4 linked regions of the Caenorhabditis elegans genome follow. The protein of the gene in region 1 interacts with the protein of each later gene in a pairwise test. Each region holds a gene or a part of one and is shown on either strand. Other genes may lie near its edges. The genes, in order: nhr-21, lsy-2, nfi-1 and ehn-3.

What was found.
Region 2: the proteins of nhr-21 (region 1) and lsy-2 interact in a two-hybrid assay, tested with the Caenorhabditis elegans proteins (one large-scale study listed by BioGRID).
Region 3: the proteins of nhr-21 (region 1) and nfi-1 interact in a two-hybrid assay, tested with the Caenorhabditis elegans proteins (one large-scale study listed by BioGRID).
Region 4: the proteins of nhr-21 (region 1) and ehn-3 interact in a two-hybrid assay, tested with the Caenorhabditis elegans proteins (one large-scale study listed by BioGRID).

Annotation. Positions count from the first base shown.
Region 1 is NC_003280.10:7,335,925-7,343,169, reverse strand, and holds the start of nhr-21 (NR LBD domain-containing protein), read right to left. Parts: upstream 3,942-7,245; 5' UTR 3,908-3,941; coding exon 3,892-3,907; intron 1-3,891.
Region 2 is NC_003284.9:2,086,640-2,094,938, reverse strand, and holds lsy-2 (Zinc finger protein lsy-2), read right to left. Parts: upstream 5,236-8,299; 5' UTR 5,140-5,235; coding exon 5,113-5,139; intron 4,935-5,112; coding exon 4,794-4,934; intron 4,743-4,793; coding exon 4,637-4,742; intron 4,585-4,636; coding exon 4,428-4,584; intron 4,013-4,427; coding exon 3,929-4,012; intron 3,878-3,928; coding exon 3,782-3,877; intron 3,723-3,781; coding exon 3,546-3,722; intron 2,677-3,545; coding exon 2,568-2,676; intron 2,467-2,567; coding exon 2,371-2,466; intron 2,315-2,370; coding exon 2,210-2,314; 3' UTR 1,686-2,209; downstream 1-1,685. Other genes in the region: col-164 (Nematode cuticle collagen N-terminal domain-containing protein), read right to left, coding at 158-403, 454-1,169, 1,222-1,450; F49H12.2 (uncharacterized protein), read right to left, coding at 8,209-8,299. UniProt on the Caenorhabditis elegans protein: Involved in transcriptional regulation. Required to specify left-right asymmetry of the ASE gustatory neurons, probably acting upstream of microRNA lsy-6.
Region 3 is NC_003280.10:7,535,532-7,544,324, reverse strand, and holds nfi-1 (Nuclear factor I family protein), read right to left. Parts: upstream 6,046-8,793; coding exon 6,028-6,045; intron 5,626-6,027; coding exon 5,362-5,625; intron 5,307-5,361; coding exon 5,226-5,306; intron 5,171-5,225; coding exon 5,072-5,170; intron 5,017-5,071; coding exon 4,885-5,016; intron 4,829-4,884; coding exon 4,474-4,828; intron 4,309-4,473; exon of another isoform or gene 4,288-4,308; intron 4,059-4,287; coding exon 3,800-4,058; intron 3,751-3,799; coding exon 3,455-3,750; intron 3,413-3,454; coding exon 3,275-3,412; intron 3,011-3,274; coding exon 2,878-3,010; intron 2,831-2,877; coding exon 2,544-2,830; intron 2,495-2,543; coding exon 2,347-2,494; intron 2,167-2,346; coding exon 2,067-2,166; intron 1,949-2,066; coding exon 1,787-1,948; downstream 1-1,786. Other genes in the region: rol-8 (Cuticle collagen 6), read right to left, coding at 24-191; ZK1290.13 (MARVEL domain-containing protein), read right to left, coding at 7,399-7,653, 7,905-8,041, 8,090-8,172, 8,222-8,319, 8,368-8,483. UniProt on the Caenorhabditis elegans protein: Probable transcription factor which recognizes and binds the palindromic sequence 5'-TTGGCANNNTGCCAA-3' present in promoters. Plays a role in locomotion, pharyngeal pumping, egg-laying, and life span.
Region 4 is NC_003282.8:5,414,779-5,421,992, forward strand, and holds ehn-3 (Zinc finger protein ehn-3), read right to left. Parts: upstream 4,445-7,214; 5' UTR 4,418-4,444; coding exon 4,376-4,417; intron 4,144-4,375; coding exon 4,054-4,143; intron 3,685-4,053; exon of another isoform or gene 3,664-3,684; intron 3,391-3,663; exon of another isoform or gene 3,370-3,390; intron 3,277-3,369; coding exon 3,052-3,276; intron 2,709-3,051; exon of another isoform or gene 2,688-2,708; intron 2,658-2,687; coding exon 2,529-2,657; intron 2,481-2,528; coding exon 2,343-2,480; intron 2,293-2,342; coding exon 2,128-2,292; 3' UTR 1,921-2,127; downstream 1-1,920. Other genes in the region: spp-7 (Saposin B-type domain-containing protein), read right to left, coding at 1-13, 66-222, 887-984. UniProt on the Caenorhabditis elegans protein: Together with the zinc finger protein ztf-16, plays a role in gonadogenesis, specifically in somatic gonad precursor cell development. This is possibly by regulating tra-1 gene expression.

The sequences.
Region 1 (7,245 bases):
AGGCGTGAAGTTGTCACATGGGGCGGATTTGTAAACGGTATGATAGTCACTCAGAGAATGGTTAAAAAGATTCGCGTGTGCGCGCGAGGGAAAAATCGAGAGAACATCCATTTATATCGATGAGCGAATCAATGTGATGAGTACTTTGGCAGAAAAATCATTCAAGAAGGTGATGGTTTGATGAAGGGTTCAAAAACTAACTCAAGTGATTGGATCACAAATGGGATCTAAATAAAACAATTAATCATGTCATGAACAACATAGAGAACATTCACCTAGAAAATTCTCAAAAACAAATAAAATTTCTAGTAGTGTGTCACGCCCAGCTAAGACGTACCTCCCGTACCTTCCAGGGCGTTCACCTGGCAAAAGACAGACAGGTGAGGAAAGTCTGGAGCATATAATAGCATGTATTTATAAAATTAGAATTAAATTGAAATGTAAGGAATTAAAACAAAAATGAATGAATAAATTGGCATAAACCAGAACAAATTTTAAACCTAATGAGCTGCTCAGTATAAAATTGGTAGTGGCAGATTCATCAGACTTCCAACAAAAAACATTGACGTCTGAATGAAAAGTGCACCGCAAAAAAATGTTCCACGTGACATCTGCAGGCAAAGGCACTCCCCCAGACACATCAGGACAGAAGATTTTAATCTTACGAAAATTGGAATTCTGAACTGACATGCTGTATTTTGGTTGAAAATTAGTGGTCTGATAAAAGTGATTAGAAGCATATTATAAAATCGAAAGGAATAAGGTAATTTATCGAAACTTTTGAAATACACACTATTGCGGAAATGACTATTTCTAAATTCAACGTTGGCCGAAGTCATTTGGGGAATCCCTTTTTTCTTTGAATGTCTAGACTCTTCATAAAATTCAATTCAACATGTGACATCATAAACAAGCAAAGATCTCTTCCATTTTTTACAAACGAATTGTTCTCAATATTTTTGTCATAAAAATGCGTATTTTGACTGCATACAGTTGATCTCTTCGACCTCTCTATCACAAAAATATAAAAAATCTGTGCGATCTTTAATCATCTCCATTTCTGATCTGTCGCGACGCCTTCTCCCACTACCATCTGTTTTGTTAATCACGATCTGACACGTGGTTACTTTAAGTGCATAGTTTGGAAAAAACAAATGTTTCAAGAAAATAGGAACCAATTTGTTGTAAATTCTCATCAGAATAGAATAAAATATAAAGCCATTAACCCTGACTTCTAGATTTCTTCCTCCGAAAATGTTCAAAAAATCACGTAGCAGGGACACATCGTATATTATCGTGTAGAGCGCCAATCCCCGAAAACCACAACATTCTGATCAAAATTAAAGATCAAAGCCTTTTTCTTCTTATTTATAGCAATGAGTTTTGGTTTCAACACGTTCAAATCCCCCTTTGAGCATTGAACAAATCAAAACGGAACTACATGATTTACGTCATTAAGCACGACTATTATTAAATTTTATAATAATAACATACATCAATCCAAGAACAAAAATTTCACGGCATGTAAAAAATGTCTTGCAAAAAGGCAAAGAAAGAAAGAGCAGTGAGAGTTTAGAGAAAAAGAGTCACAAAAATTTTGTGACCATTGAAGTTAACAAAAGATTTCAAACCAGAAGGTGTTCAAACGAATAATAATGATTGGAAAATTGTGTTTTTTTTTTGAAAAAAAAACTATTCACAGACGAGGAAAATTAAATAATAATGAGATTATTCAGAGAAAGAACTAAAGGACATGCTGGAAGATGATATCAAAAGTTCGTTTTCCACCAGTGCAAATGAAAAAGTATAAAATGACTTTCAAAAGTTTTAAAACTGCAGTGGTCCGTATCAAGTTTCATTTGACACTTACTAGTGAAGCTTAAGCTTTATTTCAAAATTTTTGAAGTTTGTGCTGTGGACTTTTTTTAAAACATGGAATTGAAATTTAGAAAATTTTGTGAATTTATAAATTATAACAATTACCTCTTTGACGGTGCATTCTGAGAGTAGTAGTTGTGCTCTTCAAAAATATAGCGATCTCTGATATAGTATGATCTATGGATTAGCCGAGAAGCAATCAGCACGAATAGAGAAATGTACAAAAAATGATTCGGCTGCTAATAGTGCAAGAACTGTTCACACTTTTAAAGAGGAGTCTCGCTCATTTTTTCCTACTGTCCATTCATATTGTGATCTGTTCCGAGCAGCATAAACTACAGTCAACTCTTCCATTTCTCATTGCGACGAACTTTGTTCCGATTGTTTGTTCCCATTAATTTTGCGCTCGCGCGGAGGAGTCTAGGAAAAAGAGAAATAAACAGAGGAAGAATAGGGGGAACAACGAACAATTTTTACTTTTTTGTTTTTAATTTAATCCTATCACTTGATAGGGAACCCTTCATTGCTGGTAAAAATAATTATAGTCGAGGAATACTTGCAAATCCTGCAATTTAATTATAGCTATCAAAATTTTTACTAATGTGAAACCTTTTGATCTTTTGATATCTCGCAAGTGATTATAGAAATATAAGGTTGAAATCAGTGCTTATAATCCGATTAAGATGATATTAATCATTTAAAATTTAGAAATATGTTTTGCTTACAAAAATCAAAATTGTCATAACAGGAAAAAAAAAATACATGAATCAAAAACTGTAAATTTATTTAAAGGCGAAACTGCATAAATATGGATTTCAAAAGATATTGTTTTAAAATATTCAAAATATAGTTTTTTCTTACATTTTGGCAGTTTGAATTTGGCAGATTATTATAACGTAGAAAGACAAGATATCAGAAAAAAATTCTTCGAAATTCTAGTTAATTTCTTTATTCTTTCATGTTTTCCATCTTCGTCATAAACTCCTCTAGGCTTTTGATTAGAATTTTTATTTCCTCCCTGGTCTCATATGTGTTTTTCTTCTAGTTCGTTGAGGCAGACAGGAATGCGTGTTATTTCAATGATCTTGTCATATAAGACCAGAAAAACAAGAGTACAGAAAACAGAAATAAGGATAGTAATTCGATGCAGAATATGTTAATTAGCAAAACTAAATTACCAATGAACAAAATGAACGCAAAACTATTATCACAAAAAAGAGAAAAAGGATGAAATAAAAGAATGATATGAAAACAGAGGACATGAAATGAAATGAAGTAATTCATGACATCATGAAAATTAGATAGGTTTGAAAGTCGAGATGACCCGTGGAGTTTCTATGGGCATAACTGCCCAAGTGGCAGACCCATTTCCACACAATTGTACTTTAAAGAATAGAAAAGAGAGGACGTGAGAGTATGGAGCAATGGGAGGTGAGCAACGAAACAACCGGCTGTGCGGAACAAAAAGTGAAAATGGGAGGGAAGGTGTGAAGAGCCACTGAATGAAAGATGTGTTCGGTTGGTAGGATCATTGAACAGATTATCAAGGAAAAAAGAAGGAAGTAGTTACTTGTATGCTTATGGCTGGTGCCAATTTTTACCGGCTTATCTGCGATAAAAGAAACAAAAGAAAAATTGTTGGTTTAATTTGAACTTTATTAAAGGCTACATTGGTAAAAACTTAATTAGGAAAAATACGAATAAAATATAAATTTAGTAAGCACCAGGATATGTACGCAACATTAAAGTTTGGTATTCAATCCTTGAGAAGAACAAAACATTTTAAGTTGGAATGTTTATTATTCACAGCCACAACTCATGTTTTCTATCAATTGAATACAATTGAATTTCTATAAGTCAATGTTAGCTAAAGTATGTTTAAAAGATTATAAAGTTATGGATATAGTCTGGTCAAGATGTTATATGATAGAGAAATCAACAAGAAGAGGAAAACATAAGAAGATAGGAAAAGGAAGCAATGAACAATTCGCAGGAGAAAAGGGAATCACTTACTTGATCTAGGGCCCATGATTTGTGACGATTTGATTCTGTGAAGAGGACACCTGTAAGACGAAACAGTTGGATATCACGGGAGGAGTAATTAATGAGAGAAAAGGCAATAAAAACATTATCAACAAACATACAAACTACACGTGTTTGAATTATTGAAGTATGATGGAAGAAAGAGGAAAATGAAAGCGAAAATGAATATTTTGGTTCTCAATTAACGAACACTACAACCTACAAAATTGATACACACGGAAACAACTAGATTGTATGATATCAAATATCCGGTTTGATTTCAAAGTTCAAATGTTTAAAAGGTAACCTTTTGGGTAGATAAACTCAAGCTTTAAATTTGCCATATGAGGTTGGTTCTGAAGACTATAACATCTTTGAGACAGAAACATACTTTACTTTCATTGTGGTTCTAGCCTCTAACAATAAGTACCTACATTTTTACAGTTTCCTTAAAATAATAATTTGGCTGCAAAAAATATTACTTGAGAGAAGAACAAAAATGAGATAACCGATAAATCCGTAGTCAATTCTGAACTACGCATATCAAAAACGTTTTGAAATCGGTATAAAATATCTAATCACCATTTTTTAGTTAAAATTGCGTACTAGAAAAGTCTGAAATATTTAATTTTAACATCAGTATCACTTTTTCTAACTACACACTACACAAATGCCGAAATTATTTGTGGTCATGGGGGAAGCAAAATATGCACAAATTTGAAATGTCGCATTAACTTTTTGAACTAACCGATAAGAAAACTACCTCAACTGATCAACAAAAACAAAGATATAAATACAGGCTTTTCATAATAATAGTTCTACGCAAGTACCAAATACAAAACCTGGTTGCATCTATGTAAAAAACAAAAAAAAATCATAATTTTAGGTGGCAAATCCATGAATGATATAACCTTTTGTTATTAAAAGAAATACAACATACTGAGTAGTTTCAAAAATTATTAAAAAGTCAAATTAAGGGAGAACTCATGAAAAATTAATTTTTAAGCTGTAAAAACGAAAGCCCATTAGGGATGACAATACAGAGACGAGAGCCCAAATTCTAAACCAACTGCAAAAGGCGACTTATTACTTTAACTCGGGTTAAATTTAGTTATGTAAATCTTATTATATTGAAAACTATTATGTTTCGTGACCCATGACCAACAACATTTTTCCATAATTTCTTTCTTCTCGCTAAACTGGGTATATCTCCGAGATTAATCTAAAAGAAAGTGCATATTTTAGGTCAACTCATCAGAAAGTCATCAGAAAGTCAAATCAGAACTACATATGTTCGTAGTGAACTTTTCTGCTTAATCTGAAACTTGACAACCATACCAAATAGGTGTTAAAGTAAAAGTAGGAAGCATGAAGATAAGTACGGCAGTATTCACACGGTACACACACCTGTCCTACAAGGTATACGGGAACCGAATCGTGCAAACACGTACATGGAGATGAAGATGAGAGACAGAGAAACCCGTAATGAATAGTGTACTGGAATGTAAAAGACGCAGACATTAAAGGGACGACTATTGAAACACGCGCTCGAAATGTTCTTTGCTCGCTGGTGGCGGACGGCGGGTGTGGAAAAAACGCGACTGGAGACACAAATTGGAACATTATTTTATCATTTTTCTTACGCACTCTGAATGAAGACCGCCTTTTTTGGGGACAGTCAGATGACTTTTTTGACACGTCATGAAGATTATCAGGGGCCAATTGGCTTAGGACGGAACAACAGCTAATTATTACATCAGTTCAAGGACTCTAAGCTAACATGTCAATGTCACGTGGTTGTTATCTTTTGCACCGGGATTTTTTTTTGATTTCTCGTCCGATGGTTTGGTTTGATGAACTCGTCGTTTTAATTGTTGACCTTTAAAATATAAGGACAATGTGATCTTTGGAAAAAAGGGAATACTCTCACACTTCTCGAGACTCGCTGCGTCTGGAAGCCCTCAAGTCAATTTTCAACTTCCTCTTATTTAGAAAAAGAAGTCGTCTCCAAAAATTACTCAACTCCAGCTCAAGTTGAAGTAGAATATCGAGAAAAAAATGAAACGTGAGAAGAAGAAAAAAGGAAAAAGGAAAAAACAATTTTCATGGCTCTCGCTCTTTCCCCATAAATGTGTGGAAATCAATTATGCATGTAGTAGCAATAGATGATTGAACTATCCTGTCTTGTTAGTTGGAACAAGAAAAACAACGTTTTAGACCAAAAAATCAACCCGTGCATGATCTTTGAATAAGTATTGCAAAGATAAAAGAAGGTGTCATATAACGTTAAAATACTTAGATTTGGTTTTGGAGGAAAATCTGGAAAATCTGAAAACATGCTCTACTTTTCTGAGCTTTTTTTGACTAATTGTAAGTAGAATGTAAAAAGACAATAATTCCACAAGATCACCTTCAATGTAAACTACTTTGAAATTAAGAACTCAAGATGGACTAATATTGAGGATTATCACATTTTCGTTAGTGATAAACCAAATTCGGTAATTCTCGACTAATAACAAATAACAAGATTATGCAAATCTAGGGGGCACAAATCACGGTTTTCAGGGAACAAGTATAGGGCTTATAAACTGAGAAATCTCAGAGGAGTTTAGTTTTCTCTTTTCAGAACACAATATGCTATAAAGTTAGATTTTTTAAATTATTTTAAGTTGCTACTATTTGAAAGAAAAAAACAAATTCTGAGCCTAATGTTGAGACCTGTGTGATTTGAAAGCAGAGACGTTAAATCGAATATTTAAAATTTATCTGATCTTTATTTAAAATAAACCCAATTTGTTATGTTGCTTTTCTGAAAATTTTAAAACTCAATCAATATTCTTGGGATGATTTTTTTGGAAATTCGGTAAAAAATTTACAGAAGTGTAGTCGCATCTGGATGCTGATCTTTAAATATTTTTTTGTGACTTCCATTTTTTGATGAGGACATAATCTTCACTCTTTCCATTTTTATCTTTCCGTGGAAAACCGATAAAAATTGTTCTCTATTCATATAATAGCATTGGAGGCACATGCTTGGGGCAAATTAGACGACGTTTTCAGTGGTATTTTTAAAAAAGTGGTGTGAAGAGCTAAAGAAAAGAGCATAAAGCTCGGATCGCCGCAAACTTATTAGATTGGACTACTGTAAGCACAAAAATGTTAATCAATATTGCCAGGATAATTATTTGAAAACTCAACTTAAGATCATCTTTCAGCTTTCTAAGCATGCGACACCATAAAAGCCTTTTCAAACCCTTTTTTTTTAATGCAAAATCTTGCAATATACTTGGAAATTCGTTGCAACAATTTTAAAAACGTCAATCTGAAAAAAAACCTGGTGAGCAT
Region 2 (8,299 bases), on another chromosome or scaffold:
TAATTTGTTTATTCCAAAACTTTGTTTGAATATGGAGCCCGTTCATATTATTTGATATAGTTTAAATTTGTGTTTTTTTTATTAAATAAACAATTTGAAATGCTGAATTATTTATTTGAAACATTTGATGTTTGTAACCAAAATCAGAAAGAGACAATTAGAAAGTTCTGCGAATGCGGGAAACAGCACGTTGACGGGCGGTAAATCTGGCACGGTTCTTTGTTGGATATGTGGTATCTCCCTTTGGAGCTCCTCCAGCTGGAGCACCTTCTCCTTCAGTTGCGGAATCAGCTGGCCCTTCGCCAGAAGCATCGCTAACTGGGGCGCCCGCTCCTTCAGCAGAGACATCGGAAATCGGCGATGGAGCTGGAATATCGGCAGAGAGCTTAGCTGGATCGGATTCCTGAAAGTACTTTTATTTTATTGAAATCCAAGAATTGCAGTAAAACTCACAACTGGGGATCCTTCAAATTCAGTTCCTGGGGCTGCAGCGTATCCGCCACCTCCTCCTCCAGCGATGTCTCCTTTTCTTGATGGGCATGGGCAATAGGCAGCATCTTCTCCAGAAGCTCCGGCGGATCCTGGAAGACCTGGGAATCCATCTGGTCCCTTCTCTCCTTGTGGTCCTTGTGGTCCAGTCTCTCCCTGTGCTCCAGCTGAACCATCCTCTCCACGCTCTCCTGGAAGACCCTCGTCTCCTGCAAGACCATCCATTCCAGTCGGTCCTTTTGGTCCTGGTGCTCCTTTAGCAAATCCTTTTCCGTCAGCTCCACTGGTTCCTTTCTCTCCTGCTGGTCCCATTGGTCCTGGATGCCCATGGTCTCCTTCTGGTCCATCATCTCCTGGTGCACCATCGCGGCCTGCGTTTCCTGGAGCTCCTTTATCTCCCTTCTCACCACGTGGTCCACGTTTTCCTTTGTATCCAGCAACACCTGGTGGTCCTGCTGGGCAAGCAGTGCAAAGATCTCCAGCTTGGCTTGCAGTCTGCTCATTGCTTCCATCAGCTCCATCTTTTCCTGGAGTTCCATCGGTTCCGTCGGTTCCTGGCTCTCCGGCTGATCCTGATTCACCCTTTGGTCCTGCTGGGCAAGAGTCGTCAATTTTCACAGGGCTGGCTTCGGGTGCTGTAGCGGCAGGAGATCCCTCACCAGCAGCTCCTCCTTCCTTGTCTAAATTTTCATTTGTCAAATATTTTCAGATAACGTTAACATCTGCACTTACATGTTTGTCTTGCAACTCTGCGGTGGCTTTCATTCGTAACAAGCTCCTTCCAGAGCACATTCGAAGTCTCTTCAAAACCAGTTTTTGCAGTTTCCAGTTGAGCAGTCATGTCTCCCATAGTATAGAAAAGGACAGGAGTAGCAGTTACCATAATCAAGAAAGCACTTCCAGAAAGAATGACTGCAAATGAGACAGTCGACGAAGACGACTCCATAGTTTTGTAACTCATTGCTCGAAACAAACAATGGAGAAAAACTTGGTTGATGAATGTTGTACCCCACTACCGTCTTATATACAACATGTGTTATCTAAAACTCTGATCGGTATGTTCCGGAAGTTGTCCTACTCCTTCCCAATCTTCACTTCAAACCACTTTCATTTGTATTATCTGATCCTTGCTACCGCTTCAACAAGTTTTTGCATTTGCATATTCTGGATACCAGGCTATTCATTCCATTTTGTTTCAAACGTATCAAAATTTTATTATTCACTCCATAAATTGAATTATGACACTTCATATTAATCGAACACCTATACAATCGGCTCAAAAGAGAAGAATATATAAAAATAGACGAAATCAGGCAACGGGAAAAAAAGGTAAAACAAACAAAGACTACTACAACGACTATACAAACTCCTCAATAGGTTATACATTAGGTTATAATAATAAAAAACAACGGATTACAAATGGAAATAAGGAGCAAGATATCGCTGGTGTAGATCAATGCCAACAATGATAAACGGCATGCTTACAATTTTGGAAAAAAAAATGATTGAAAGAGCAAGTCTGTCTGTCAATGGGTAGGAAATCTTCAAAAAATACTAATCCCCGAGGTAAGAAAAGAACCAAAAAAACAAGAAGAAAAAAGTACCCCGTTTTGAAAAAGGTGAATAAGAGAAGTTGAAAGAAATGTCATCGAAGGCGTCAAAAATGGGTAAGTGCGCAAGCTGAATTACTCTATCTAAGCAACAATAATAATAATCAATTTCAAATCAACTGTGGTTCCATCATCTGCTGGCCAAAGTTTGCGCCAAACAGCATTTGAAACTCGTCATTCGTTGGTACCAAAATTTCCGGATCTGCTGGCTGAGGCTGAAAAAAAAGTGAGCTTTAGTTATTTGTTCAAATATTAACTTTTGTAAACGTACAACAATTTCTCCAGTTTCAATCAAACTGCTAACTCGCGTGTGGTAGCTCATGTGCTGATTGTAGCTGGCCTCGTCAGCAAATGGTCTATAGCATTTCTGAAAAAATATATATTGTATCGTAAATCCAACAATAATAACAAATTTTCAATCATCCCACAGACAGAAAACCACTCAAATTACAACGTTATAGAACTCACTTCGCAGAAAAATTCAAGACCCTCCCGATGATTTTCGTGTTCGAGTGTGTGATGGCTGACACAATCCATTCTGGTCATGAATTGAGACTTGCACACTGGACAATCATGGCTGAAATTAGGTAGGTTTAATGAAAATTTTAATTTAAACTGTGTAATGTGTTCTCTTCTATTATAATAGTTCTATTAGTTCTATTAGTAATGCACTGCTCGATTTTGGGAGCTTACAACTCAGTTGGTTCAAAAAAATTCAATAAGTATACAAACCCAGGCATATATTAGGAAATGAATCGCACCATGGGTGTGCGGCAAATTCGGCAAATTTGCCATGGTTGTCATACTCAGTAAATCGCAATATTTTTCGAGCTCAAAGAGGGCCAAAATTGATTTAAAAAATAAACTACGTTTACTGGTTTTTGTTCGAATTTTGCCTAATGCGCGTGTGGATTTCTTCAATAAAAAATAAAAGAAACACGATGTTATGTTTACTTTCATTAGGTTTCTGTTCAAAACCATTAGTTTTGTACAAAATTTTTATAAAAATTGTTTCATGTGTGCGGCAAATTTCAGTATTTGCCGGGCTCGGCAGATTCGGCAAGTCTACATTTTTGAAATTTACGGAATTCGATGAATTCGGCAAATTCGGCAAATTTGCCGCACACCGAGCGCTTTTCAGATATTATACTTATACTCACTTTCAGTCCTACATTCACTTTTTGATGCTTTCTATGCTTTCAACAATCTTCCAGCCATTTTAAAACAAATTATAAAGTACGCTCTCTTTTAAGATAATAATTCAATCAAAATTTGACGAAATTTCGTAGCGAAACTGTTGCAAAAAATTTGAATTGATGTCAAATCTTTCTCAAACGCACGGAGAGCAGGTATGTATATAATATGTACCGTAATTCTGAGAATTCATGTGCTCAAACGGCATTTTCCACTCCGATTTCTTTTCAGTTCAAGGATAAATAAACTCACGTCTCGAATGCAATGGACTTTGCAATCTCGAAAAGGTTGCCCCAACGCTCAAGAGACATGTTGTTGAAGATAGTGTCTTCGAGACGTCTGATCTTGTCCTCAAGCTCAACTTGTGGCAGAAGATCTCCTCTTCTCAACTTGTCCACCCAGTGCTCTGGTTCTCCGAGTCCAAGCTTCCTGAAAAAAAACATTCGGTAATCTCACATTTTAATTGTGCATGCTGGATGTCTGCTTACTTCTTCTTCGGACGAGGCGGCGGCGTGTAGTACGGTCCTCCGGCTCCACGAAGTACGATGGCGTCGTCAGGGATGTCAGCAGGCGGCCGACGGTTGCTGAACCGAGATTTTGCCAATACTGGCGTTCCGTTTTTGTTAAGATCAAACCTGGCAAACGGCCTCCAGGCAGCTTCCAGCTCTTCCTTCGTCGTGACGTGTGTGCGAAGATGCTTCTTGAGGTTGCCTTTCAGTCTGAAAAAATTTAAAAAATTTGTTTGTTATTTCTCGTATCGCCTAAATAATTTTTGTTGATTATATTTTTGTGTTTTCTACCCGCAACATTTAGATTACTGTCACGAGTGCCGTTTTGAAATGAGTACGGCATGCATCTTATCTACGCCTTTTTCACCATTCTAACACTATTTCTCTTCGTTTTATCGATTGTTCTACAGTGTCGCCTATGGCATTACGGTGTCTCTCGTCCGTCTCTTTTTCTCTACCGTTTCTCGGCCCGTACACTGTACACACCGTACTGCGCATTAGCAGAGGAGAGTCGACTGTGAGAGAATGAGAATTAAGGGGAAACGGTCGTTTTCGCAACCCGCCACATTTTTATTACTGTACATTTGAAAGAGCACAGCGAATGTTGTTTAAAAAAACCACTAACCGACAAGTTTTTCCACAATATGGACAGGCGTGAGGAGTGAAGCCGGTATGGACTGAACGATGCTCAAACAAGTTCGACTTAAACCTAAATGATTTTGAACAAATATCACATCGGAAAGGCTTCTGATCTGTGTGTATCACTGCATGCTGCTGGAGACCTGAAAACAAAATCAGAGTTAGACAAAGCTACCGTATTTTTCAAAAAATTACCTTTATAGGAAACAAATATTTTGTTGCAAACATTACACTGGTGCACAGCTCGAGGGGTCATCATTCCTTCCACCATCTCATCTTCTTCAGGAAACCCCATTTGATACTGAAATTGATTATGATGCCCCTGAAATGGTTTCAGAATTTTTTTGAGTACCTGAGAATAATCCTGCTCATCCATCATCATTTCGGAGTCATCCATGTGTTGATTGTGGTGATAAACTGACTGATTCGACCCGTGAGTCATACTGGAACTGTTGAATTCAGAGAGGGACTGATCCGCAGAATTCCGTTGACTCTGAAAGTAGAGAACGTCTAAAAAAGTAGGGAATTTATAAAAGATTCGATAAATTGAAATTTGAAAGGAGTTTATAAAAGGAAAGGTTAAAGTACAGAAGCGAAATAAAAATGAAAACATGGGTTTCAAGAGATTTCAAAAAATTTTAGAAATTTTTTTTGAAATGATATCTAGTTACCTGCTTAGCATTTCTTCTGGTTAGCATGACAAAATTTGCCTCAGACAGCTTAAAAACAGCTCGAGACTGCTAGATATTGCGAAAGAAGCGTCGAATTCAAACTATTCACCTTGCCGCCAAGTGCAGAAAGGGTTATGGTATGAGAACGATACGGTAAGAAATGCGACCACTCGGAGGGGACGCGACGCGGCCGCAGCGCAACGAGAAAACGAGACGCAGGCGCGCAACAAACAACAAGGATAGTGAGCGAGAGGACAGAGGTCACCACCGTCGCTTGCTGTTCGTGGTTTTTACATCGTTTCTGATAACTCAGCAAGTGTAGAATTTAGAAAATAATGAGTTTTTTGTGTATTGCGAGTGTTTAGAAAATTAGATATAAAAAATTAAACTGTATTTTTATATTATTTCGTAATAATCGTCATTTTTTACAATTTTTTTTTCAAAATTATAAAGTGCAAATTAAAACATTTTCATTGCAATTTTTCGGAATTTTTAAAATTGTCTTTTTTTTCTAAATAAAATACAATTTTATGAAAAAAATTATTTTAGTTTTAGTCATGGTTTGGTCGAAAACACAAAACAGGTGCAAAAATAAGCAGATGCGTTTTCATAATCTCAGGTGGCCGAGAATTGAGAAATTGGTTGCTAATTTTTGGGCTATGGCAAGTCTTAAAAATAATTTGCATCAGAAATGTTTTATTGAAAGTAAAATTAAGATTTAATTATAAATAGAAGTTAGTGCTTGGAATAGTAAAAGTCAATCAAATTATACATGATCAATAATATTTTTCCTAACATAAAAGACATGTATAATATTGTCACAGCTGCTTTTGGAACTGAACAAAACCCAGCAAAAGACTTCAACGATTTTGGCAAATTGAAAAAAGTTAAATGAAAAAATAAAACCTTGAAATTTGAAATTGGAAATTTGAATGAAAATCGATCAGGACTCAGAAAATCGCATCTATTCGCTATGAACACTATTCGATATTCGTGCAACGCCGTAAGCCCCAGACGAAGAGCAGATGTGCATCTTGCCTGCTGCTCGCACGCATCCACGCTGGCTCACCGTGTAACTCCAAGTATATTGGGAGTTGTTGTTGTTGTTGTTGTTGTGGAGGCAGACGTGGTTGTTGTGGTGTCCATTTGGAATCGGAGCAGCAAACGGCGTGTGTTGTTCATGGAAATTGGACTGGTGCTGCGGATGGTGTAAATTCATCATTCTGAATTATAAAATTAAATGTTTTCGGGTTAATGAAATTGAAAAATAAATAAAATAAGTGTATATTAATTTCGAAAAAAAAGTGTGAAAACGGTTAATAGTAGTTTAATACAAAATTAAAAAGTTAGAGATCTCTTGAATTTTAAAGCTTTAGATTAAATTTAATAAGATTTATATATTTATTGATAATTTATTGACTACAAAGCAAGTTTGTTAACAAACACAACAAAACAAATAAAGATTGACATTTTGTGAAACCTATCAGCATTTATACTATTTATAAAAATACCAATAAGTAGTGTTATATAAATTAATTTACCAAAAATAACAAATTTTTTCCAAATGTTTTTTTAAACCTGAGGAGAAATTTGTGTCTTGTTCAGTTTATGTTCATAAGTTTCACAATTCTAATTGAAAAATCTTGAGAAGGGGAGTTTTGGTGAACTAAAATAAAACAAAACGTTTTTTTTTCAAAAATAATATATTAAGCCAGAAACTCGAAAAATTAGTCTTTACAATTAGTATCAAAATTTTAAGGATACCTAAAGTTTATAGTAAGATTCCTTCAAAGTGAAGTGTTCTAACAAGAGTGTGAAAACTTGTTCGACGTCTCAGAAAAGAAGTACAATCGCCAAGTTGTTCTGGGAAATTAGATTAAGAGAAACGAGCACAAGTTGAGAAACTCCCTCTACTCAGATACTCGGCGAAGAAAAAAAAACGTGAAAGATACTTTTACCATGAAGGGTGCCATCTTGACGAACATCTGCTGAACAGCCAGCTAGTTTCCGTTCTGAGCCCTCTAACATTTGTAGGGCAATACTTTTATTTGAAAAAAAGCAGCTCACACTTGCTTCATTCGACAGATTTTTGAAGTTTTGAGAACTTAACCGCTTCGTTATATTGGATCGAGACAAATGGGGAAAACGAAAAGGATTAAGACATCCTGGCTCTAGCTTCCTAAAAGTGCATGTTATTTTCAGTTACCTGGTGCGTGTGGAACGATGAGACTAAATCTCTCAACCTAGGGAAGTCGGTTCGATAAACATAGTTAGGGATGAGTAACGGTTTGGACGCCTTTTAACGTATAAATTGAATATGTGCTTAAATGATCGAATTTTGTAATTAAATTTTTTTTTAATCTACAAAATTTTATATGACGGTTCAAAATTTCGAAAAAAATTATCCAACTTTTTTTTTACTTTTCCGTGCCGCAGTGATTCAAAGTAGATTTGTTTTAATTATTGTCATTTTTTTTGCAAATTTTGGTAATTTACCTTATGTTGTTTTGTTGATTAAGGTATTTTTGGAAATTTTGAACCGCCATAAAAAACTTTTGAAACAATTTTGAGTCGTTTCATTAAAAAATTCGTTTATTTAAGCACATTTTGGGTCTATATGTTCAAAATCGTCCAAACCGGTACTTCTCCATTAAATTTTTATAGCCTTTAATATCAATTTTTTAAAGCAATGTTCAGAAAAAAACTGTTACTAATCTATGCACACTTTTTTACAATTTTCATATTAAAATATTTCAAATATATTATTCAGATTTCCAAGGCTTACATAATTTTTTTTATTCATTTTAGTTTGCTTTGAAAGCCAGAATACATTTCATTGTTTGAAATATTATTTCCAAGGTATAAATTTCCTCAGAAAAATTATAGTTTCTAAATTTTCACAGTTCTGCAGTTTTTCATAATACATATTTATTTTTTTAGCAAAGAATTATAAATACAAGTACTTAAATTACGCAAAAAAATTATTTTGGAAAATATAAGCAATAAAGAAGAAAACAAGTCTTTTACAAGTTACATTATGAAAACTATACATGTCGTAATATAAAGTCATGCGATTTTTCAGAAATTACCAGTAAATTATTCAACAACCAGATTGCTAGAAACTAAGAAAAAAGAACCCCCTGAAGAAGTCGGATTCAACTTTTTAGGCGGCTCTAGAAACTCATCC
Region 3 (8,793 bases), 200 kb from region 1:
AAAAAAGAATGAAATGAATTTACCTTGCAGTAATCGGTTTCGACCATAAGATGAGATTGGAACGACTGAACATAATTATAGAGCATTGGAAGTGTTACAACAGATGCAATTACAGCAGCAGTGGATACAACAACGGCAACAAAAGCGATGCGACGCATCTGCCGTTGCTCTTCTGTCTCTTTAACGTCCATATCTGCTTGATTGGCCGATCGGATCTTCTGCTCGTTCTCCTTCTTCTCCTTATGTAGGCGCCCCCCAAGAACTGGATAACTTGGGCGCCAAGTCCCGCCTTTCTGTGTCTTTTTGAATGAGAGAGACCGTTGTTGCGGCGCAGAGGGCCTCCGTATACAAGGACGATAACCGATTCAACCTAGGAAGAATGAGAGAAAGATACATCGAGATCCGTGTGTGTACACCTGCCATCAAATAAAGAGGTGTGAGGGACGAGTAATACTTTCATGAAAAGTTTAAAAGTTGCAATTTGCAAGTTATTCCAGAGTTCCATGAAAATCCAATCTCGATCAGAACAAGACGGTATCTGAAAAACTGAGCTTTCAAGCTGCTGATAATATGTGTTAAAATTTCTAATTGTGTAAACTTCTGAATGTCTCGAAACGACACATTTTTGTGAAATGCAATAATGCTAGTAACTTAAATTCCTCTAAAGAAATTTCAAGCGATTTTTATAGTCTTTATCCTGATTTGTTAAAATTCATACGCATAGGCTTTTGTATTTTTTTCGTGTCGAGACCGGGTACAGTAATTTTTGCCAAAATACAGTACATGGTCTCGACACGACTGAAACTTTGTAGTTACCGTATCCAGATGTTTTTCTTTCAAAAAACTTTAGTTTGCTCGTTACCAAAATTTAAATCAGAAAAACACCAAAAATTCCTAGAATAATATTAAGAAAACGCCAAAAAATTTTGTTTTGCCAATGTTTTGCCGTTGTTACGGTAGCTGCAAAGTTTCAATCGTTCCAAGACCTGGTAGTGTTTGTACAATTGCTAAATTTTGTAATAATATCTGTAAAAAAGATACCCAACTCTTCGAACTTACTGGAATCTTTTCCATCAATACATCTTCTTTTTTGTCTATCCAGTCTCTATCATTCATCTAATTGGATAAGTATGTCACTTGATTAACTGGTAAGCTGTTGTTATCATCTTCGTTTGTTTCCAGGAAGGAGACTGATAAACAAGTTTCACCCGATAAACCTATTTTCTTTTCTTCAGCTACTAACTAACTATATCATTTTTCTTTATTGATGATATGATATTCCAATTTCTTTTGAATCTATGTTGTGCTTCACGACTTGATAAAAATTCAAGATTCATTAAAATACGTTTTAAAAATTAAATAATCTGAACTACCCACACAAGAAATGCAAACATGAGGTTCAAATACGCAAAAAAAACATAAAAGGAAAACACTGGGAAACTGGAAGTGGTGATTACAATTGTGCATAGCTACGACGTTTTTTCAAAGTTTTTCAGATTTACAAGATAAAGAGGTGACGGTGAAGAAAAGAAAAGGGAAAATGTGTGGCCCCGTAAACAATTGATTTTTTTGTGGATTTTGGTTTTCAAAAGAGGTTCGGAAAAATAGATTATGACGTCACAGACGGAGAAAATGTTTTGAAGATTGAAGAAAAATGAAAATAATAAAAATAACAACTAGTTTGAATAATACTAAAGAAGGACTAGGTTTGATAACTCTAATTTTTCAATTGGTAACACGAAAGGGATAAATAAAACGAATAAAAAGATTAACAGGAATATCAAAATCATTTTTTCTCATTACGAAGAGCATGTGAAAAGTCAGTTGGCAGCTTTGGAGCATTCGGATCTTGTGGAGTATTTGAGACCGGTGCTTGATTTGCAGCTCCTAGAGATGAATTTGATGATGACGGGGAGCATGCTGGTGGAGCTCCAACGCTAACACGAATCTGGCGATGAATTACACAATTAAAAGCTTACATCTTTCGATTAATTATTTTCGTAAGGTGTTTTTCAGAATAATTATAAAAGCTGCTGATTATAAATGTTTATAAAATATCAACTTACTTGATGAAGAGGTGACATTGCATTTTGAGTTTGCTGGACGGCCAGTGCAATATTTTGAGGAACGGCCAATCCCATTGCTACACCCAACGAATTCGATCCGCTGAAGAAACTTTTTTTGGTTAGACAAGACATTGATTTTAGATTGAAATTTGAAATTAATAAAATTTTCAAGCTTTTGGCCAATTTAAAAAAAAGTATATATTTCTGGAAAGATTTTTTTAAAATTACATTTTATTTTGATACATTATTTTCAGAAAAAAAACAATATGGTTCAACTTACTTGCTTGCAGAACTATCCGGACGATGAATCGAATTACCAGGAACTAATCCACTCACAGCTCCCATTGATAATGCCGAAAAAGCATTTCCACTACTAAGCAATGGAGATCGAGAATTGGTATCAATAAGATGTTGAATGAAGCTATCGTCTGTAAAAAAAAGCAATGGGATGATAGTTCAATGTTCATAAAATCATACTTAAAGTTGTTCCGTCATTACTGTGTGCAAGTTGTCCAAGTACATTAATCAATGAATCATCTTCAAGCATTCGAAATGAAGGAGTTATACGAGGAGTTGTGATGGGTGATGGAATGATTGAATTACATCCTGACATAATTGGTTTCACTGCAACTGGAGCAATTAATTTCACTGATGAATCAACTGGTTTCGATGATAAGATTGGTGGTTGGATTTGTGAATTACAGTAGCTCGTGCTCGGTTGATTATGTTGCAGATGTTTCTCTTCGATCTTTTGGAAAATTTTGCTGAAAAGAAAAAATTGTTTAACGATGATCGGGATACGATGCCAAACCTGAAGCTTGTTGTATCTCCGCGTGCTGTTGTGAATTTTGTTGGGCTTGCCATGTATCCACTACTTTCTCTGCTGATTAGATTAGAAACAGCAGTGTGAGTCGGTGAAATATCGCTTCCTAAAGCTCCTTCATCTGAAACAAAAAAAATAAATTCAACTTTTACTAAACATATATTCTTCCAAAACTACGATACCAGGTCTCATCACGACAAATATTTATGGAATACACAAATGTTTGCGCCTTTAAAGTGTACTGTAATTTCGAACGTTTGTTTCGTAGATTTTCCATAGACCGGGTACCATATTTTTTTAGCTTTTTAATATAAAAAAGTTTCGTGTTTGAAAAATATTAGTAATTTTCGCGAGAATGAGGGTCACGTATACAAAAACAACTAACTTTTATTCATTTCCTGATTGCAATTCAAAAATTCAAATGAATTGCTCGTATGCGGATGCATTCTTTTTCTGCCAACTGGACTTTCTCGCATCGATGGTGTCGTTCGAAGTGAGCTCAATGCATTCACTATATGTTGAGCTGAATTAATATGATTTTATTCATTAAAATTATCGTGCTTACCATGAATCACATGCTCCCGATTTCTTTCATCAACAACAACGACTCCAACATCGCCATGATTTCCAGTATTCACTGTCATTCGACAAACGGGTTTTGCTGTTGAACGGAATGCACCCGGACTCCTCGCAGAATCTTGACTTTGAAAATCGGGAAGCGGTCTCACTTGCCGACTCGTTCCGGGAGCTCCTTGATTTTGTTGTGTACGAGAGAATTGGCCTGGTGCTGCCCATATGGAGCTTCCGAGTACCAATTTTTCCGTTCCACTTTCCACTATCCGCCGAACTTCGTCGTTAGTGCTGAAATAACTGTGTAAATATTTATATTAATTATTTTTTCAAGTTCTACCTGGAATTAGGAGAATCATGCGATGATATATCCCGACTTCGTTTCTCTGAAGGTCCATCGTTGGAATCCTCCGACATATCCATTTGTTGAGAATCAGATGTTCCCGCGATGGGATAAGGAAAACAATTTTGAATCGGAGGAGGTGGTAGACATAGAACAGATCTTTTTGCATTGAAAAAGTTGTTGTCGACTGCGGTTTTGTTAACCATATACGTGTTTCCCGCAGAAAGAGACTGTTGGGCAAGAGTAGCACGACCACCTGAAAATTTATTTTAAAGTTTGGAATTCTTATTGGAAATTTGCAATTTCGAGCCAATAATATGCAAAAAGGTGTGCTCAAGGAGTACTGTAATTTCAAACTCTTGTTTCTGGGGAATTTCGATTGAAATTGAATATAAATCTATGAAAAATAGAGGGAGAGGGAATTTCTAAGCAACGAGAGTTTGAAATTTTGGCACAAAAATCGCGTTTGAACAGTTTCACAAAATTTTAAAGCCCTTGACAATTTAACATATTTATAAATTAATCAAAACGATTTATCTGCGTCGCAAAATGGATATATTTTTATTTTGAATAAAATTGGATTTTTTCGCTGACAGAATGTCATGGTGAATTCTCAATAGCTTTCAATTTATTCATTGCTTATAGAGAGTTTTAGAATAATTTAATCTTACCAAAATAAGTATGGCAAGCTTTCTGTGGATCATAAGTGATAATGATTGTTTCCGCATTTCGTTCGGAATTCGTTTCCCAGACACGAGTATGAGTAGAACTTGTGCCAAGAACTGCATGAGGAGCTACAATTGTCTGTTCACCGGGCTCTTGCTTTACCATCACTGTATCAGAAAGTTCATCATTTCTCGGATAGGTCAATGTAATTTTAGTGTCAACGTCTTTCAGATAGTTTGCCATAAAAACGTCAAGACCGCGAACACTAATCGCCATATGAAAAGGATTTATGCACAGAGGGTGGACACATGCCTCGGATCGTTCGAGACGCTCGCCGTCGGTGCTCTCGAGAGGAATTCCCTGAAAAATATTAAATTTATTTGAAGTATTAGGCAATAGGATTTTTAAAAACTCACTTTAAATAAAATAATAGTAACCAGATCAAGCCTCCAAACTTTGTCAGCTTGGCGTAAGCAATCAATTCGCCGCATTTTCCCTTTCTGATCAGCAACTGATATAATACACTTGTTCGGCTCACTTCCATTGATCTAAAAAATTGGTTTCGCCTTATATTAAATCAATTATAAATATTGAAATACTTACAGCCGAAATAAACGCTTCTTTATCGTCATTTTGAATATCTTTTTTTATTTTTCCCAAAAGTCTGGAAGCCCATTTCACTTTTAATTCATCTCTATCATTCTGAAATGCAAACAATTTTCTTTATGATTTTTGTTCATATTTATTCGTATTTTACTTGTAATTCTGCTAATTTCGCGTTTTCTTCACTCGCACACATCTTCTTATCAAATTCTTTGAAGTGCCGTCGTTTTGCTGCCTGAAAACAGGGGAATGAAATTGAAAAATTAAAAATTATATTCAATAATTCCTACCTGCAGATGAAACCAATTATAGGCACTTGCTCTGACAAAAGGTAGAAGTTGTTCGACAAATGGTCCCATATCTTCCTGTGAGTAAGGACTGAAGCATTTGATACCATTGGCTTTCGGACTCACGGCTTCTGGAGAATTGAATTGATTACTCCAATCAGAAGATGGTGGAGGCATTGTCTGCTGTGCCTGTGAGTCTTGAGGTGCTTCTGATGTTGAAGCTGTTGCACCAGTGGTCGTCGAACCGCTGGCGGAGCTGACATCGATCTGAAAAGTATTTTGAGTTTATTTCTTTGTTTGATATACTTATACGAGTTTTTTTTTTGAAATTTCAAATTAATAATCAAGTTTTCTTTTTTACCTGAGATTCCATTCGTATAATTTAAAATCAAAAGTATCTACAAAAAGAGTTTATATTTTCATATATAATACTGCATATAGGAAGAGATAGCCTTTTGATGATAGTTGGTTCATAGCAACAGCAAAAATACTCCACAAATTTAAAGAGGCGCAGATAAGGAAACAAGCGAAAAGATTTTGAATGAATAGAATCACACCGCCCGTCGAGCGAATACTCGTCAAATTAATCGATATGAAGACCGGCATGTGTGTGCGAGGTAATTATTTGCAGCGAACCTGCTGCAAAATGTTTTACAACAAATAAATTACCTTGAGATGCGGCTCCATTTTATTCAAAAAATCTCCCAGAGCTGGAAAAAAATCGCAATGCTGCTGCGATCGGTGTCCTGGCTTGTGCTCAGATAATCTGCATTCTGAAACACTTAAAAATCGATATCACAAATTGACAAGCGTTAAAGAAGAAAAAAGCGGCACCGAGCGCAAAATATCATGAGAAAATAAATGATTGAAGAAGTAAAATATTTTTCGAGATTAGTTTTCTGTCGAAATAATAATAAACACTGGCAACAATTTGAATTAAATGAATTCTCGTTTAATCAATTTTATTGAGCTTATAGAAACACTTCTTCTGATTCAAATATATTTTTGGAAACTTTATAAATTTTTCTGCACATTCATCTGCTCATATTTTGCTCTTTCATAGCCAATATTAAAAATACAGGTGGTCTGGGATGCGCTGCGAATCAAACTACGGTAAATTAACTATAGAGCAAAAATGCGCAGAGGGTCGTACAAATACTAGTCCAGCGGCCATATTTCAAACGGAATTTTCCGCGCGAAATCTTGATTAACTGACAGATGACAATTAATTCTTAAAAATTAAAATGAAGATTATCGAATTTTTGAAATTTATTTATTAATTATCAACAAATAAAAAATTTAACGAAAAATCTCAAGCGATCTGTTCAGAAAAAGAGAAAACTCATAAACAAAAAAACAAAGAAGAAAGTATCGATTAAATAAAACGGCAGGTCTCGCAACGATATTGTTAACTATTGCAAAATGGTGCGCGTCTTTAAAAAAGAGTACTGTAGTCTCAAACCTCCGTTGTTGCGGAATATTTATCGGTTTTTCATAGTTTTTCTCAAGGCTTGTGCTTAAAGAAATGTTGTTTCATTGTTATAAAATTTTTAGCAAATCGTGAGAAAAACTATTAAAAATCGATAAAAATCGCACATCAGTTTAACGTTCGAAATAGCTGAAAGTTTCTTGCGAACATGTGAAAAAACAGAAATTTCGTTTTGTAAAAAAACATTTTGCAACATACAGAAAAAGATAACCTCGAAATTTATTTTATTCATTTGTTTGCTCCCTCGTTCCATAAAAAACAAAAATCATGTGACATCAGTTCTATAGCATGCTAAATACAATGCTCAAGTCGTCAGTTCAACAGTTCAAATCAAACAAGTATTAGAGTTTAATAATAACACGTGGTGTCAGGATCCCCCGTTACGCTTTGATCTACAGAAAATGCGGGATTTTTCCTAAAAAATGTGACGTCAGCACGTTCTTAACTATGAGAAATTAGTTGAAAAGGCTGCGCCTAAATTCCTGCCGTTCTCGTAGATCTTCACATGGGACATTCTGACACCATGTCTAATAACATAAAAATAACTAGAATCAAAAAGCAGATTCTTCAAATCTTGACAATGAATTAAACTTGGATGCAAGACTTGCATCTGATTGATGAACTGGATTCTTAACTGTTCTTCTTGGAGCAGGAGAAGGTTCCGGTGTATACTCTTCAACTTGTGCTTCTTCTAGAATTGCCATTCTCTTTGGTTTTGGTGGCCTATTTCTATAGGCTACAGGGTATGCTGGTGAGGTGCCACCAATATTTGAAATTTCACTTTCAGTCCCATCGAATGTCTCATCCTAAACGAAATTCTATAACTACAAGCCATACGTCACAATTTTTTGAATTGGATCTGCTCATTAAAATTTGTGATTTTTTTTTAATGCAAAAAAAAGTTATTCAACAAACAGATAAAATTGATTACAAAAATGTTTTCTGATGTAAGATTCTCCAAAAACTTAACATTTATTGACAAATAGTATTATTCTGTTTTCTACACTATTTTCTGAATAACTCAGCTCAAATTGTTTAATTGCCTTATTGACACCACCTGAACAGATTGCTCAATGGATTCATGCTGCATTTTGAGAACTTGAAAATACGTCCGTCGAGCCACAATGAATGCCAACATTTTTAGACAAATCAGGATGACACATACAGCTGAGATAATTGCACCGTATTTGATTGCTGTAGTGGGATATCAGGATCTTTTGAGCTTCAATTTGATGTTCTTACCTCTGGCTGTTTCAGGATGGGTTTCATTTGGATTCGCGTAGTTTGAGTCTTTTATGTTATGGGAAGTACGAATTCTGCTTGTTCTGAAAGTTCAATACTTATTAGTATTATATCTCTAATTGAAAGAGATACGAAGGGCCTCCCAAAGACTCTAACGACCACATTACTCCGCTAGCGACCGCATTTAGAGCCGAATAAAGCCAAATGAACAACCAAAACATTGTAACCAACTGAAATAGCTAGGAAATTAATAATAAACTATTGCAAAATATTATTACTTGATATGATAACATTGGATACGAAAAAATAGGTGATTGCTTCGATAGACACAAGTTGTATGTGATTATGGCAAATAACATAAAAAATAGAAATGCAAAGTTGAGGAATACAGGATCTGAAATTTGGAAAATGTTACAAGTATCTATAAAGCGGTGTCTTTTTTTAAAGAAATTATGTACTTTGAAATGAAGGTGTAAAAATTACTGATTGAATTTCAATGTGATATACTCAAAGTACAATCGGGTAAAATTAAATTGTACACTTATGTAATTAAAAAAACAATTTTATTCATGGAATAGACTGATATTTATGTTGTAGAGCTTCCCCAAAAATTACCTCAAATGTATTTTCCATTTGTTTCCGCCCCATAAAAGACAATTTAATTTCATTTTCATAAAATCACTATTTCTATTAGTATAAGCCTT
Region 4 (7,214 bases), on another chromosome or scaffold:
CCTGTAAATTTTCCTAACATCTTTTTGGTTTATTCAAAATTCAAAAATGTGAATTATTCGGTCACCTTGAATACAGAAGGAAGTACTCGACATTTCTCATATAATTGATTTCTCAATTGATTCTCCGATAGACCAACTCGATGTTTTGTAACTGACAATAATTGAGTGCACATGAAACATCCCAAGTTAGACGGAGTATTTCCATTTGGAGAAGGAGATGCTCTGTAAATTTGAAATTGTTTCTATGATAAAATCTACTCAACAAATTTTTTTCTGTTTCTTAAATAATATATGTTATTTATCAGTTATCTAAATAATTGATACATATTTGAAAATTCTTTGTTCGACAAGACTAAAAGCATTAAGTAGTTTTAATATTTGAAATCTTTGAATTATTTGAAATTATTTGAAATCATCTCAAAAAAAGAGAGAAAAAATTAATAAAAATGCACAGTATCAAGAATTTTATATATCTAGTTATTCACTATGTGATATATCACATGCTTTAACTTTCTTTCGTTATTATGTGTCAGCAGTCAGGTGCTCTGTGTTAAGAATCAACTAGAAAGTTTAGTTGTATCAATTAATTATGGAAAATTTTTTGAGTTTGAATTTTTTCTTTCAAGATATCCATATTATTATTGTAATTTTTGAAAAATAGTAGGGGATGCACAGATGCACTGAAAATTTGAAATTGCTCTTGAAAGGAGGGTTTCTCAAGTTCGTTGATTTTCTTTGAAAACATGGAAAAAAAGTGACACTCGCATAAACTTTTTAAAAATGTTACTCATTCAAAAAAACCTAAATACAAAATGTACAGTTTCAACAATTTGATATTTAGTGAAATTATTTGAAAATTGATCATTTTTAATCAAAATAAACTCACCTCTCTCTGACAACTGGTTCTTCGTTCCAAAAATATGTAAAAGTGACTTGAAATTGCTGACCTAACACGGCAAAAACGAAAAATAAATTAATTCTCATTTTAAGAAGAGAGTTTGAGATCCGGTGAAAACGGAACTTATTATTATTATTGAAATTCAATGAGTGAAACAGAAACAATTGAAAATAGGAGGAGCTACCCGGGAGCCCAAAATAAAGACAAGAAGAAGAAGACGTCTATGTTCTCTATATTTCGCACCTCAAGCACTGTATTTGGTAAGAGAAGCGCCGAAAGAGCGTGCGAGATGAAGAGACGCAGACACTCGAGATGTGCGAATTTGAGCACCCGAGTTGAGAGCATCGTTTGCACACTTGTGATCCTTCCTCTCGATTGCCTTATTTCGCCACTACCTCCTACTGTATGTGTACTATTATAATTGAACGAAAATGATGAACAAAGGGTTTGGAGACAATCGAATCGTGCTTAAGATCACTTTTTTCATGTCTCAGATGGGATATTAGCTTGAGAATTTTGAGAATTTTTTTGTTGATATTTTTATAAAAGAGGCAAAATTGTGAATAATATTTCAAGAGCAAAACTCTATAAATACATCAAACTTTAGAAAACTGTAAAATACTTTTTTCTTAATTTGTTTTATTATTAATGTTGGAGATGTAATAAAGTTTTCAATAAATCTCGGAAATTCAAAGTGTTATCACTCCTAGAGATGACTTTTTTAATTGGACACTTTGTGAAAATTATCTTCAGAGGAGCATTTTATACTAGAAAAATTGATCTCGCCGTTTTTTTTTAATTAGGCTTTTAAAATGCGAAAATCTTCATTGTCCTAAAATCAGGAGTAATGTTTTAAAATCTGTTGGTAGAAATTTGAAATTTCTTAATCTAAAACTCTTGGCATTTCCTCCTTAAAACTGCTCTCCTGAAGATAAAAATAATCAGCATAACTTTTGCAAAATTCGCATATCAATAATTTTTAGTAAATCTTTTGAAGTTTTCAGAAATAAAATCAACTACCATAATTGAGAAAATCATATTTCTAACTTTCAAATATATAAAACAATTAACAGAAACAAATGTAACAATTAATTCACACAAGAACAGAGTTAAGTATTTTAAAACATCCCAACAGAAGATGAGGAACATTATTGATAAGATTGATGCTGGTACTTAACAATAAATTGAACCATGCTATAACTTTGAAAAAGAATCGACATTTTTATATTTTAGAAGTTATGATTGGCGTAAACGAGATGAGCAGCAAAATCATATTTTCCATCGCATAGGCTTCCACAAAGTGAGCATTTGAACGGAATATCATCTGAGTGGAGTCCACTGTGCAAATACCACATCACTTTGTCATCGAATCTGATTTTACAGTAATCGCAGTACTGAAATAATTGTTTTTTTACAAAATACGTTTTTTCCCAGAGGTACATACCCAGCTCTCTGGACCATCCAACTCTTCTTCTTCGGGAGTTTCGATTTCCGTAGATGGTGTTGGAGACAACTCTTTTGCGGATTTTACAGATCTAGAGCACTGTGGCAATGGGGCTTGTGAAACAGTGCTATGAAGCGGCTGAAAATATTATGTTACCAGTTGAAAATTCAATTTCAAATTTCTTACAAAGAGTGGTGCGATTTCAGTTTTGAAAAAGTCAAAGATTCTATCAAAATCATCTGGATTCTTGATGGGGTTCAAGATTGAAGTAGTGGATTTTGGAAGAATTGGAGCAGGTTTGAAAGAGAAGAATTTCTGAAAACTAAGGAGATTTATATATATCTACCAAAATCCAATCTATACATAGTGCACGTCTGACTTTAGTAGAGATTTTGTAGAAATAGCGAAAAAGTATTTTGAAATTCAATTCAATTATGTGGAGAAGTTCGAGTATAGTGAATTCTATTTTAGATCAATTTTTCTAATGTTTTGAAGCTTTCAAGTATTTTCGATTGCAAGACCCAACGGTTTTCAAAATTTTACTTTTAGTCTCAAATGAAAAGTTTAGTCAACATTCGGCAAGAATCGGATCAAACGTAGGCTAAACTTAACACATCACAGCTATAACCTACTCGTAAGCAAGTAGCTGATGTAAAATCCAAATAAAAACAGTGTGTGCTTCAATTCTTCCACAGAAAAAAGTACTCACCGTATGATCCAGGTGTGCAGTATGAAAATGAAGCAGAAGACGATGGGAACTGTTGAACCATTTGATGCAAGATTTACATTTAGCTGGAGACGATCCTCTTATGATATGCTCCGAATCTACATGAAACTGCAAACTCGTGAAGCTGTTGAACTTTGAATTGCACGCTGTGATGGGACATTCAAAGGTATTTCCTTTCTTGATATGGGTCATCATGTGCTCTTTCATCTGAGTTGGATTAAAAGTTGAAGAGATTGTTTTCTAATCTGTTTAATGTTTCAAGAAATAATGCTTAATGCTTTATACTACTAGAAAGCTCGATCTTTCTCAAAGTATATTTGAAAATACAACTTTTCTTGCATAACTGAAACTTTCATATAAAAAACTGATGGTCAGATCTGGAAAAAGTAAACGACTTTTAACAATCTTAACTTTGTTTTCAATAAAAATATTTAAAACAAAGCTTTTAAATTTTCTCTAGCTAACAGTAAATTAAAGCCAACGTATCAGTACACATCCACAGAAAAATAATTCCCCTACATCATTTGGCATGCTGGGTGCTAATTCTCTTTTAATTTTTTAGTGCTTTGGCATTAAACATTTATTTTTGAACAGATTCGCAAATCACAGATACCAGTAATCGTAAATTGCATTCAGTGATTATTAAAAACATCATGAAACACATAATTAAAATTTTTGTGTCAATTTCTGAAAATCAATAACACAGATTGTTTCATTCTGCTTTAAATCTGATGTACGAGTGATAAATTGAGTCAACTTTTAGGAAGCTTTTTTCTAGCATTTTTTTTAACGTTTCGACAAAAAAATCGAGTTATTTGTAAGCGTTTGGAATAATTTCAAGTAATTAACTTTCGTAAAGTAGGTTACTTAGTGAATTTTTTTGGTCACTAGAGATAAAGCTTGTACTAAAACGACTAAACTTTATAAAGAAACTTCAATAAAATATCCTCTATACAAATTTATCGGAAAACCACAAGAACTAACCCGATCATTCCGAAAAAAAGGTCTTCTGCAGAACTGACATTCAAACTTCTTTTTTCCACTGTGCATCACCTTATGACGATTCAAGTTTGTCTGAAAAAATATACATGGAAATCAAAATTTTTCTACGATTTTAGTAACTTGTTTTTTGTTGCTTTTCGATTTGAACAATGTTGTAAATTGATAATTAAAAAGAAATTTTCTAAAGATTTGAGTCTTGCGTCTCAGTTTTTCAAGAGCCAAACAAGAAAGTAGTTTACGAAACCATAAGTAACCTGGTAGGCACTTTAGTTTCTACCTATAACCTTTAGTACTCTCCACTCACCTTATTGGAAAACTTCTGGTGACAAATATCGCATTTTTCCATTTTGTAATTTGGAAGCTGGGAGGAATAAAGTCAGAGAGTGTCAGAAAGTGACTATAGGATTTTCTATTCCAAACTTTGGGTGGAGCACAAATTGTTTATAACTTCTCGGGTACTGTCGAAGGTCATTTGGGGGAAATATACAATCCTAGGTGTCAGATATCTTAACAAGTCGGAGAAGAAGCACATCTTCCGACATAACAGATAAGCCGGCTGCCGCTACTTGCCAGATGGTTGGTGACAAACTGGGGTGATATATAGTCAGAGGTCACTTTCATGATTTGGAAGAGAAGGTAGCAAATATAGTGGACAAATTGATATTAAATTACAATTGGGGTCAATTTTAAGAACAGTTACAGTACTTTGGACTGTACGAGTAAAAAAATCCTTTTTTTTTTTTAGAATTAAATTTCCTGTTTCATAGAAAACATTTGTTTGACTGATTTTAAATGTTTCATTCGGTTTTTATTTATCTCTGTAAAGTCTTTTCATTATTGTTAGAATTCAGAATTTTTACAGATTCATGAATTCACTAAAATTTTATGAGTTTCAGGATTTGTTAGTTTCAACAATAGAATCCCCCATCTCCTGCAAAACCGCAAATCACGTGGCGAAAAAAAGCGTTTTGTTCATAGCGTAATGCTCTTCCTTCTTCCTAATACATTAACCATGGCACAAATCGAATAAATTAGCATAATGTGTCCAGGAAGAAGACGACATTGGAAGACGTTTCTGGAGAAAAAGGGAAAAAAGGAAATCAAGTTTTTTCTCTTTTACCTTGGATGTCTGTAATATAGGATTACATGCCGGAAGAAGGTGAAGAGTGCAAAAATATTAGTTTTTAATGGAAAATGCTTTCGATTTTAATGTCAGGAATCGAAGATTCTCCGTGATAAACTTCTGGAAATAATATTTATATTTTTAGTTATCGGCTTTTTGGTGTATGAGATCTGATTTATTCAGTATCCAAAGATAGCTGGAGAGGTCTTACTCAAGAAAATGTTTTCATTTATTTTCAAAAAAATATCACTGTTTCAACAAACCCTTAAAATCAAGCTATAAAAGGCAGAAATGTTTTCAATCGAGATAAATAGGCTCTGATATTTTTTCAGATCTGAAAAATAACTATGAGTTTGATGGAAAGAATGAATGCCATTTTTCAAATTGAACACGTTTCAAATAGTCCATAAAACAGTTAACAATTAATTAATTTTAATCGGGATCATGCTCGACCTCTAAACGTATTATTTCCAAAATTATCCGGTGAAGATTTAGATAAAATATTTAAAAATCCGTCACATTTTTTTCGCATTTTCCGAAAATTTCACAGTTTCAACATAGCTAGAAATTAAATGTATTTTAAATTCAAACTGATTGCAACGGAATTTTAAATGTGAAATATTCAAATGTTTTTAACGTCCAACAAAACCACTGTTTCCTCTGTTTACAGTTTCTAAAGTAGTCCAAAAACCGAAAAATGAAAAAGTTTTGATTTTATTCTCTACTTATTTTTTTGCTATTTTTCATCTTGTACCTTCTACATCATCACTAATTCTGTCTAATGCTCTTGTTGCTCTTCTTCTTCCTCTGCTCATGTTGTTACTTTTTCCTAATTCCCAGCTTTTTTCTCTCTGCTTACCAGTCTAAATAATAAAAATGAGAAATCATAAATACTAAGTTGAAACAAGATACTGCAAAAGTGATATGAAATTAGTTTTAGTGATGTAAATCTTTAACTGTTTCAATATCCTTGTAACTACAGTATACTATAGTATTGATAGTTTTGATAGACTTCCTTAACGCTAGGGCATATTTATGTTTAGTGGTTCTTCAAACAAAAAAAACGTCGCGGGTAGAATATTGACTTTCTTCTCCAAATCTTTCAAATATTTTTAAAATTTGACTTTAACGATTTGAGCCGCCTATTTCACAGCAGCTTTACCAACAATCCGCTCACAATTATGAAAATAAAAATGAAAAAAGGATTACCCCTTAATTCAAATTTTTCCCGGGGTCTATAAATGTTGCACAAAGTTGTTGGAGCGGGACCTCTTGGGAACCATAGGCTCCGCTCAAAAAGTGCCGTGCGCTAGATAGTGTTCTTCATGACGTCACTGGAACAAATATAATTTTTTAATAAATTTTCGTTGAGTGAAATTGTAGAAATTTGCTTGAGTTTTTCAAAAAAAAAAACGACATGAGAATCGATTTTCATGAATCCGTGTTTAATTTTTTTTCGGTTTCATTTTTTTCTTAAAATGCCAAGCAGCACAGCATTAATGGATATGCTTTGAAATGTTTTAAATTAAGAATAGGTATTTTATTCCCTTAAACGCTAAATTAGTTCGCAACAAGTGTACAAAACCACTACTGTAATCACACTGTTCTTAAAAATGTAAAAACTATTTTTCATTAAATGGATTTAGCGGAAAATATACAGTTAACTCCACGGCATTGCAGAAATATGTTTAAAAAAAAGTACAAAAAAAGTCGAAAAAATCCATCGAAAAAAAGATAAGTGGAAGAAAGGCGGAGCCTGTTTTTTTGAATTTTTTCAAATTTTTAAAAGAAATTTCAGACGAAAGTTCTACAATTCATGACACTGTATAAAAAAATTAGCCTCAAAATTGTCTGGGCACCCATTAATACTATAACCAAAATTTGAAAATTGTTATTTTCATCGGATGCGTAAATTGAATTTCCGTTCTTCTTTCTCTTTCTCATCATTTTACATCCGAATACCCATTTAAAATTCGAGAAATCCCGCGCCGCCGACAAAAAACTTTGTTCCATTTCCTCA